Linked DNA regions of Kluyveromyces lactis. The protein of the gene in region 2 purifies or fractionates together with the protein of the main gene of each other region. This does not show direct contact. Links are inferred from orthologs where the notes say so. Each region holds a gene or a part of one and is shown on either strand. Other genes may lie near its edges.

The links.
Region 1: the proteins of RGT1 (region 2) and CYC8 purify together in Saccharomyces cerevisiae (affinity purification with western blotting; 3 studies listed by BioGRID). This does not show direct contact. The link is inferred for Kluyveromyces lactis from reciprocal best matches to the Saccharomyces cerevisiae genes RGT1 and CYC8.

What each region holds. Positions count from the first base shown.
Region 1 is NC_006038.1:812,523-817,102, reverse strand, and holds the start of CYC8 (transcription regulator CYC8), read right to left. Parts: upstream 2,801-4,580; coding exon 1-2,800. Other genes in the region: DNA repair protein RAD16, read left to right, coding at 4,529-4,580. UniProt on the Saccharomyces cerevisiae protein: Acts as a component of the CYC8-TUP1 corepressor complex which is involved in the repression of many genes in a wide variety of physiological processes including heme-regulated and catabolite repressed genes.
Region 2 is NC_006042.1:2,377,051-2,381,433, reverse strand, and holds the start of RGT1 (Rgt1p), read right to left. Parts: upstream 2,971-4,383; coding exon 1-2,970. UniProt on the Saccharomyces cerevisiae protein: Glucose-responsive transcription factor that regulates expression of several glucose transporter (HXT) genes in response to glucose.

The DNA.
Region 1 (4,580 bases), on a different chromosome or scaffold from region 2:
CGACTTGTCTCACAACTTTTTCCTTTGGAATGGATTCCGCACTCTTTTCGACTTTTTCCAGAGTTTCATTCTCCTCCTCTTGGCGAATCTTCTCCTGCTCCTTTATGCTTTCAATTGCATCAGCACTTGGCTTGATTACGGTTTCTTCCGTATCCAGTTTTTGTTTCTTCGTAACAGGCTCAACGACAGTTTCAGAGGAGGCATCTTTATTCTGGGCTCCATTAATCTTTTGTTGACTGTCAGAGAAGCCATCTTTGAGTAGGTTATTTGCAGCAGGAGTGTCAATGGCGTGTTGCTCCGTTATCTCAGGTTTAGCTACTGCAGGTTCTGCTCCATTATGATTCTCGGTGGCACTTGTGTTTTCAACAACGTTAGCTTCTGAGGTTGGTGCTTCAGGTTCACCAGCAGGTGCCTGAGATTCTTGTGGTTGCTGTCCCTCAGCCTCAGTAACTTGTACAGACTCTTGCTTTCCTTCTGCTGGTACGATGGTAGTTGTGTCAGCATTTTGCGTAGCTGGTGCAATGGTGCTGTTTGTATCGTTGACGATGCCAAGGTTGTTATCATTAGGTTCGACTTTTGGCTCGGAAGGTGTACTATGTACGGTGTTCGTAACTTGGGGTGTCGTGACTTGTGGTGCTGTCGTTTGCTGCTGTTCCGCCTCCTTTTGCTTCTGTTGCTCCTGCTCTTGTTGTGAGATAGCGTTGAACAATGTATCCATTCCCCCCTCCAAAGGTCTCTTTTGAGGAATGGTTTGTTGCACTTGGGGTGGCGGAGGGATTTGTTGAGCTTGTGTGACCTGGGAGGCTTGTGTGGTATTTTGAAGCGATTGTTCCTGTCCATTTTGGTATCCTTGCTGTCCTTGCTGCCCTTGCTGTCCTTGCTGTCCTTGTTGCACCTGCTGGGTTTGTGGTGGTGGTAGTTGTTGTTGAGTTTGCAGGGATTGCTGATATTGTTGTGGATGTTCGTGGTCTTGTTGTTGCTGTTGATGCAGTAGCTGCACAACTTGTGGATGCTGCTGATCAACTCTTTGAAGAACCGGTGGCATATTAGTGTGCTGAATAGGTTGCTGTTGTTGGAACTGTTGGACAGCATATTGTTGCTCCTGGCCATTTTGTTGCTTGTCATTCAGAGGATTGAACATTTGTGTGTTGTTTTGCAGCATTGGTTGTAACATCACTGGTTGTTGTGGCTGTTGGTTTGGTTGTTGGGGTTGCTGTAATTGAGATGGTAAAGGAAGAGCAGGCTGCTGATTGTATTCAATCTTCTGTTGTTGCTGCTGTTGCTGTTGCTGTTGCTGTTGCTGTTGTTGCTGTTGTTGCTGTTGTTGCTGTTGCTGTTGTTGCTGTTGTTGCTGTTCGCCCGATTGGTGTTGATTCATTATTTGAGCAGTGAGGGCGTCTAACCTTTCCCTAATATGAACGTTGTTAGGGTCCAACCTTGCAGCCTGTTTGTATGCATCCAATGCATCATTGACCTGATTGTTGCAAGTTTCATATAGAGTACCTAAATCGTACCACACTTCACTGATATAAGGATTCAATCTGATTGCTCTGGTGTAAGCGTCTAGGGCGTCACGATATTGAGCAATCTGGTAGTATAATACACCTATGGAACACCAGAATGTTGGGTTTCTTGAGTCGCGGTTAACGGCTTGTTGGAAGGCATCATATGCAGAGGTGTAATCATTTCTGATCATATGAATTCTACCCAAATGGTACCACGAAGTAGCATCAGTAGAATCGATTTCCAAAGATTTGAGAAGTAAATTTAGAGCCTTCTGTGGGTCATAAAATGATACATTATTCATACCGTATAGGCAACCGAGCTGTTGTAAGACTTTTGCATGGCGGTCGTTCTGTGATATGATATGTTCATACGCGTCCCTAGCTCCCTGCCATTCACCCATTGACTCTAAAACACTACCCAATTGGAACCAGACATCCCATTCTTGTAACGGAGCAGGAGGTTGAGGCAGGATATAACGGAAGCATTCCAAGGCTTGATTCCATTTCCCCTGATGTTTGTAAATGATACCCAACCTGAAATAAATTTCATTTGCCTTTTCGAATTGTGGGTCAAGTTCCAAAACCTTGGCAAATGCTTCCTCTGCGTAATCCAAAGATCCATAACGGTCGTATAGAATACCTATTCCATGCCATAGTTTCGGTATGTTTGGGTTTGATAGATGATAAAGGGCTTGTTGATAAGCTGCATATGCGTTTTGTAATTCATCAAGCATTAGATAACAATGGCCAAGAGTAGCCCATATATCGCCCAGCTCTGGGTTCGCAGAAAGAGCTCTTTGGTAAAGCTCTGCAGCTCTTTGGAACATATCACGAGACCTATATAGATGAGCTAACGATGTCAATGCGTTTGTCGACGATGGGTTATGTTGTAAAGTCGCATCATATGCCATTGCAGCCAGATCAGCATCGCCCAAAGTCTCTGCCAGAGATGCAATGGACAGCCAGGTCTCTGCTGTGGACTGAGACAACGGATCTAGAGGCTTCAAAGGCTGTTTAACCGGCAACAAATCCTGAGGACGTACCTCTATCGGCAACTGACTTTGTCCTGGTACCTGTTCATTGCCATATTCTGACGCTTGGCCTGGTTGTTGCATTGCTAATTGAGAAGCAGCAACCGCACCATTCATGGTATGTGGTAACCCTTGCAACATGCCCTGCTGATGTTGGTGTCCCAATAATCCATGTTGCTGTTGCTGCTGTTGCTGTTGTTGTTGTTGCTGTTGCTGTTGTTGTAACGAGACTGCCATTGCTGGACCTGAAATTGCGTTCAGCATATATCAAACGCCAATTCTGTTTCGTTTCCTACCTATTCGATACAATCCAAACCTGGATATCCAATCTGTTTATATTTTGCACACAAAGAAAAAAAATTATAAGTAGAAAAATAGTATAGTACAAGCGTGTGAGAGTGTATTCGTGCTATTTCCCAGGCTATAAGTCTGAATATTTCTTGCTTTTAGTAGACCAAAATACAAACCCTTTACGTCACACTTAAAAAATAACCTGGCTCTCGCTATTATCACTGAGCTAAAGTACGATCAATCGTTCCAGGTTTATAACCTACTATCAAAATACAGAACCAATAATTCTCGCAGATCTTCGTTACCTATTTGTGTCCTTCTCTCCAAAAAAAACAACAAAGATGTTGACAATCAAACTTAAGTATCGTGTTAGTAGAATTCTAAACATTTATTTATTTCAATTTTTTTTTTTCTGTTTCTTCAAAACCAATGCAAACGTTTATTTGTTATTTTTAATTTTTTTTTTTTTTTTTTCAACGGAATCTGCGGGCGTTTTTAGCGGAATCTCTCAGTAATGTCGACATTTTGGCAAACCGTCAGTTTTATGTCAAGATGCTGTATCTATTTAGTACTATGTCTACCCTATATCTAATTACTCTTGTGTATGAACGTCTCCATTGAGTCTACTTGTACAGGTAGGTCTGTGGAGTAGCTCTTTATTTTATCTCCTGGCATATAGAATCTTCTCTCTGACAACCTGCATCATGGAAGAAACGATAAAATATCACAGGATTCTTGCCTTCTTCTATTACGAATCAAAAACTCGAGGGGTGATAATACGAAGTGGAGGGAGGCGATGAATTCACCCTGACCGGGGAAAAAAAAACTGATGTCTGTGTTCGTGTTATCTGCTGCAAACACTTCTCTGTTGGATTTTCAGTGGAACAGAGGCAGGTAAAGTATGCAAAGCATTGGCGCTCGCACCACCATGTTAATCAGGCTTACTTCATCATTGCTTTTTCTTTTTTTCTACTGTTTCCTTTCTTTCTCTCAGCTGTAAGTTTCTGTGTGTGAATGTTCGTTTCTATCTTTTTTTTTTCCCTCGAGTGCTTAAGAATTGCCTTGGGGCTAATTCTAATGATATTACGGTATGCGATTTGCCAGATTCAGCAAATATGCGAGTCGTACGTTGCTTCTGGGACGAGTTTGTGATGATGGCTTGAGTCGACGTTTTTTTCGAAAGAAAAAAAAAAAATATTTCGTTACCTTCGCATAACAGCCGAGACGGTATGACAGCAACACCCTTGTATACCATGGAGTGAGCGAAGACGCGTGGTAGTGTACAGTGTAGAGCGTACGGTTTTTATTCCTATGAATGAGCCACATCTTTTGGTCAATTGGTCACGTGATCATTCTGATCTTGTTGTTTCTCCGAAAGAAATATTGAGGTACGTACGTCACCTTGGCAAGTTTCTCCGCCCGGAACAACTCTGATCTTGATTAAAAAGAAACGACTGCATTTTCCTCGAAAAAGAAAAGGTATTGATGTGATTTTCTACATGGCTAAACATTTACCTATGATGATGGATCCTGATTCATTTCTGATGAAAAAAGCGTTTGCTGAAGCCCGAAATACTACAAAGGCTAACCTTAATACATTGTTGCAAGCTTGGAGATACTGATTAGCATCAGCAAATTATAAGAATACACGCATCAAACAAGGGAACTTGCACTGATCTCTGAGTTGAAAATAAGATGACGATGGAGGAAGGTGGGTTCATCAGAAGGACAAGGCAGAGCGGGAACCGGACTC
Region 2 (4,383 bases):
TATGAACTGGGCCATCATTATTTCTTGTGGTGTTATTGCCGTTTGGAGAGGTGCTAAAGAACTTTTCATTTTCTGTTTCCACAATGGTACTGCATCTATGGTTTTGTTTTTGGATTGAGCATTCAGTTCATGTTTAAATATCTTGAAAGGGCTCAAACTGCTAGTAAAGGTTGTTATCTGTAGCATGTTGTTCATGCATTGAGATAGTTGTAGTACTAGTGGCTGTGAATCGAAGTTTGGAGCCTGTGTACCCATAACGCATCCAATTAACGAGGTTGGCATGTTCTTAATCAATTCAACAACGTTAAATAGATCTTTGTATATTGCGATAACGTAGGGTGATACGGTCCCAACTTCAATATTCGACGGATCTGATGATTGTGCTGCTGAATTGTGTGCCGAAGATTCGTCTACCGTTTGCATAGAATTGTCGGGGAACAACTCTAAACAATTAGTGGGGTTGACCTCGACATTTAGTTTTAGTAAGTCATGAATGGTTGTGGTCAAATCACAAATCATATTGCTTAGTCTCGTGACAAGCTCTGGTGTCATTTCTGGTAGCTTCCCCTCAGCATCTGGTAAGTCAAGTAAAGTGTCAGTGAATTGTCTTTTAATTGAAAGGAATGCACGGAATAGGCCTGGTATAGTTTTATTTTCGTTATGTTCACCGACAAGAGGTAGAGGTTTCTCGAAAGACGATCTTCTGGCTTGGCATAGTCTTGATAGGAAATAGCCTAACTCCATATTATCAACTATAATTCGAATTCTTTCTGGATCCTCGTCAACGTTCCATTTATCCGTTTCCTGGCCGGTACCATCATTTGATACTTCGTCATAAAATAGCTTTGATGCAGTCGTTTCGTCAAGCTTCAAATTCATTAATTTGGGCACACCGAAAGAACAAGATTGTAAAGAGTCAAATGTATTCAATTCAAAATACAATCGCAAACAGATCTTATCGTGACCAGTAACAGTATTCCAATTGCCGAAGATAAAATTTTTCCAGAGCTTTAATTCATTGAAAATAATTACCGACATTCCAAGGACGAAAGAGTTGTTATAGCTGACTAAAGCCAAAGTACAATTGAGGATAATGAATGTAACAAGATATATCGTAGCAATTTTCTCATCAATTTGGGTTTCCAAGTCTCTAAACCTTGGATGAATATCCACAATTTTCTGGAAACATTCATTGATAGCACTGACAAACGTTGATTGTTGATACAATATTTCTTCTGATTCTTTGTCTTTTAAACAGATGCGAATAAGTAGTTCCAATGAATTTCTGAACCAAAGTAAGATGTAGTTGTTTAATTCATGTAATTCGGAAATTGGTTGGGTATTGACGAGTAATAGATCATTAGTTAAAGTGTCTTTATTGATAGGAATAATAGGGAACCTCAAATGGATATATGCATAGTATGTGTCAATTAATTGGGCATCAGCGATCTGACCGTAGTTAATCAAAGTAGGAGTAGTAGCAGGCAGGTTCTGTTGGGTAGATTTCCCTTTTTTTGATGTACTTGATCTATTTGATCTCTTTCTCTTCTTTTGAACAGGTGACGCTGGAGCCGATTCTACCTCTGCAGTGTAAATATTCGGGGAGGCATTTAACGACATTGCATCACTAGCAACACTATCCGTTCTCTCTAGAACGTGACCACCTGAAGGAAGTCCCTTATTCCCTGAATATGGCACAAATCCTCCATTCGATATACCTGTACTAGCATTCATAGTGTTGGCTTGGGGCGAATGAAGGGATTGCTGTTGTTGTAACTGATGTTGTTGTTGTAGATGTTGTTGTAATTGCAATTGTTGTTGTTGTTGTTGTTGTTGCTGCTGCTGCTGCTGCTGCGCTATGGCAAATTGTGAGTAAGAATACTGCTGCTGTTGAAGCTGAATGGCCGGGTTAAGGAGTGGTGGGATGGCAGATGATCCTCTTCTGTTATCTGAGCCTGCTTCGGACACCGAATCTTGTGACGGTTGATAGTAGTACCTCTGGTTGCGGAAAGTGTCCTGCGTAGGTAATGGCCCAGTGTTTGACCTTGAGTTACCGATATTTTGTAACGACTGTGGTTGTGATTGCGACGGAAGTGGCTGTTGTTGATTTGTTTTACCACCGGGTTTTTGTGAAGAATCACTAGCCAATGAATCAAGCGATGGCCTTCGCTGGTTCTGGTACTCGTGATAAGGAACTTTCCAAAAAGGTTGTTGCAAAGCTGAAGGAGATGAAGCAGACACTGCAGAATGGTTCATTCCTGGTAAGTACTGTAACAATGGATGTAATGATACGTTCGTCGTCGATGTAGCAGATTGACCTGGGTGTAAGGAAGCATCCACTTCTGATTTTGATTCGTTAACTGCATTCACAGGATTACTAACAGAAGGTTTCTTGCCCTTCTGAGAGACTTCAGAAGAAGATCTGCGTCGCTGAGAGCCTCGTCTTTCTCTGCTTTGGCTATTTGATCTAGTATACCCTTTGGACGGTCCTCTTTTCAGCGGAATTCTTTCGAAACTGCATTTTTCACCAATTTTGCGACAACCAGTGCAGCTCTGATCTGGGTTTATATCGTGCCCCTCAATAAAGTCACATTTAATTTTCTTCTTTCGACATTGGTCACAAGCTCTGCTCACCTTAGATCTTCTTCTCGATTCTGTTGTCGCCGTTGACACATTGCTGCTAACAGAATCTCTTCTTGTATTATCAGGCTCAGGTACTGTAGAAGCTCCTGTATTGATCGACCTCGGAGTCGTTGCTTCATCTACAGCAGATGGGTCCTGTTTCGATGTAGTTATCGTCGCTGCATTCGAGCTGTCATTTTCCAATTTGGAGTTATTTTCAGTGTTAACACCTCTTCCGACATCATTGGCATTGTCCGTGGTACTTGACGATCCGTTTGTAGTATTGTTTTCCACATCTGTTGGATCGCCAGACTTTGACATTCCATTTTGAATTAATGCGCTTAGCATAGTTTGAAAACAAAGTAAAACGTATTGGTATCTCTTATGACACCCTTTCTGCTGCAGCTAAAATGGTTCTTCTCTGGGATTTGTGAAGCGTACTCTAATGTTTCTTGTTCCGAAATCTATGTTTACTGTTCCTTCCCCTGATAATTGTATTCCTTTATTTTGACAGAAAATAGGATGAAATTATGGGGTGGTAGTGATAGAATTTCGCGTAATATATGATTTTGGCCTCAGTTTAATAATCCAAGAGTTGTACCCACCTCAATGCTTAATTACTTAGTCCCAGTACTCCTGGAGTGTTGAAGGTTGAATGAAATCTGTTAGTTTGGAAGGAAACGTTACCCAAGAAAAAAAAAATTAGTATAATAAGTATAAAACTGAAATTATACTTGAACTAAAAGTTGTACAATTCCAATAGCGAAGAGAGAAGGAGCAGGAAGTAATTGGAAAAGGGCCAAATCACGGAGAATACCTGATTTCACAGAAACAAAGCAAATCCTTCTTTAATTCCTGAATTGGGATCGTATTAATTCCAATGATTGTGCTGTTTTCCACTGTTCATACTTTTTTTTTGGCCCAAAATTGGACTTTTATGTGGGACTGCATCGATGTTTCTTCGTTTTTTTTTTCCTGTTTCTCTATATGATTCCCGGACTATATAGGAGATTATGAAAGAAAGGAAAAAGCTTAAGGACATTTTCTTAGGCGACACAGAGTAACTGAGGGGAATTAATCAGAGCACCGGCAGTACATTGCGTTTCCCACTACTGATCTACAGTCAGTTGCCAGTTCAATTACGTTTTGTCGCATACGGTTACGATAATATACTCAGAATATACACAGAGAAGAAGACAGGATACGAAGGCATCTAGAAAGGCTTCATGTAAAGATGAACAGAACTAAACTGGCACAATTACCCAAGGTAATCGGAACTGCCAGCGCAGAACAATGACAAGTTCATTTTTCTACTTTCCAAATATTACGATCTCTGCTATAATTGTATGTTCCTGTGTTAACTGTAGCGAACCATAACTACGTAAGTGTTTGGTGTCAAATAAGAGTATGGAAGAAGGTCCTTATTTTTTTTGTCAAAGTAGATAGTCGGACGTCAGTGAAGCTTAAACGGTTCGAATCCCTCGAGCTTCAGTTGGGCAGTTTCTTGTCAGCTCGGTCATTTTCGGGAAGTGGATTCCACCATTTTCGAAAGGAGCCAATGGTTTGTACGGCAGTTTCAAGGCCGGAGAAATGGAATCTCCGGGGAAATTAACCAATCCGGCGGAAAGATGAAAAACAAAAAAAACTCTTACAAATAGCACCAGAAAGTAGAGAGGCAACAGAAAAAAGTAGGAATATATACAATGACCTTCTCCTGTTCAGCGCGTGAAACATCTTTCTCCGGGGTAGACCGGAATATAA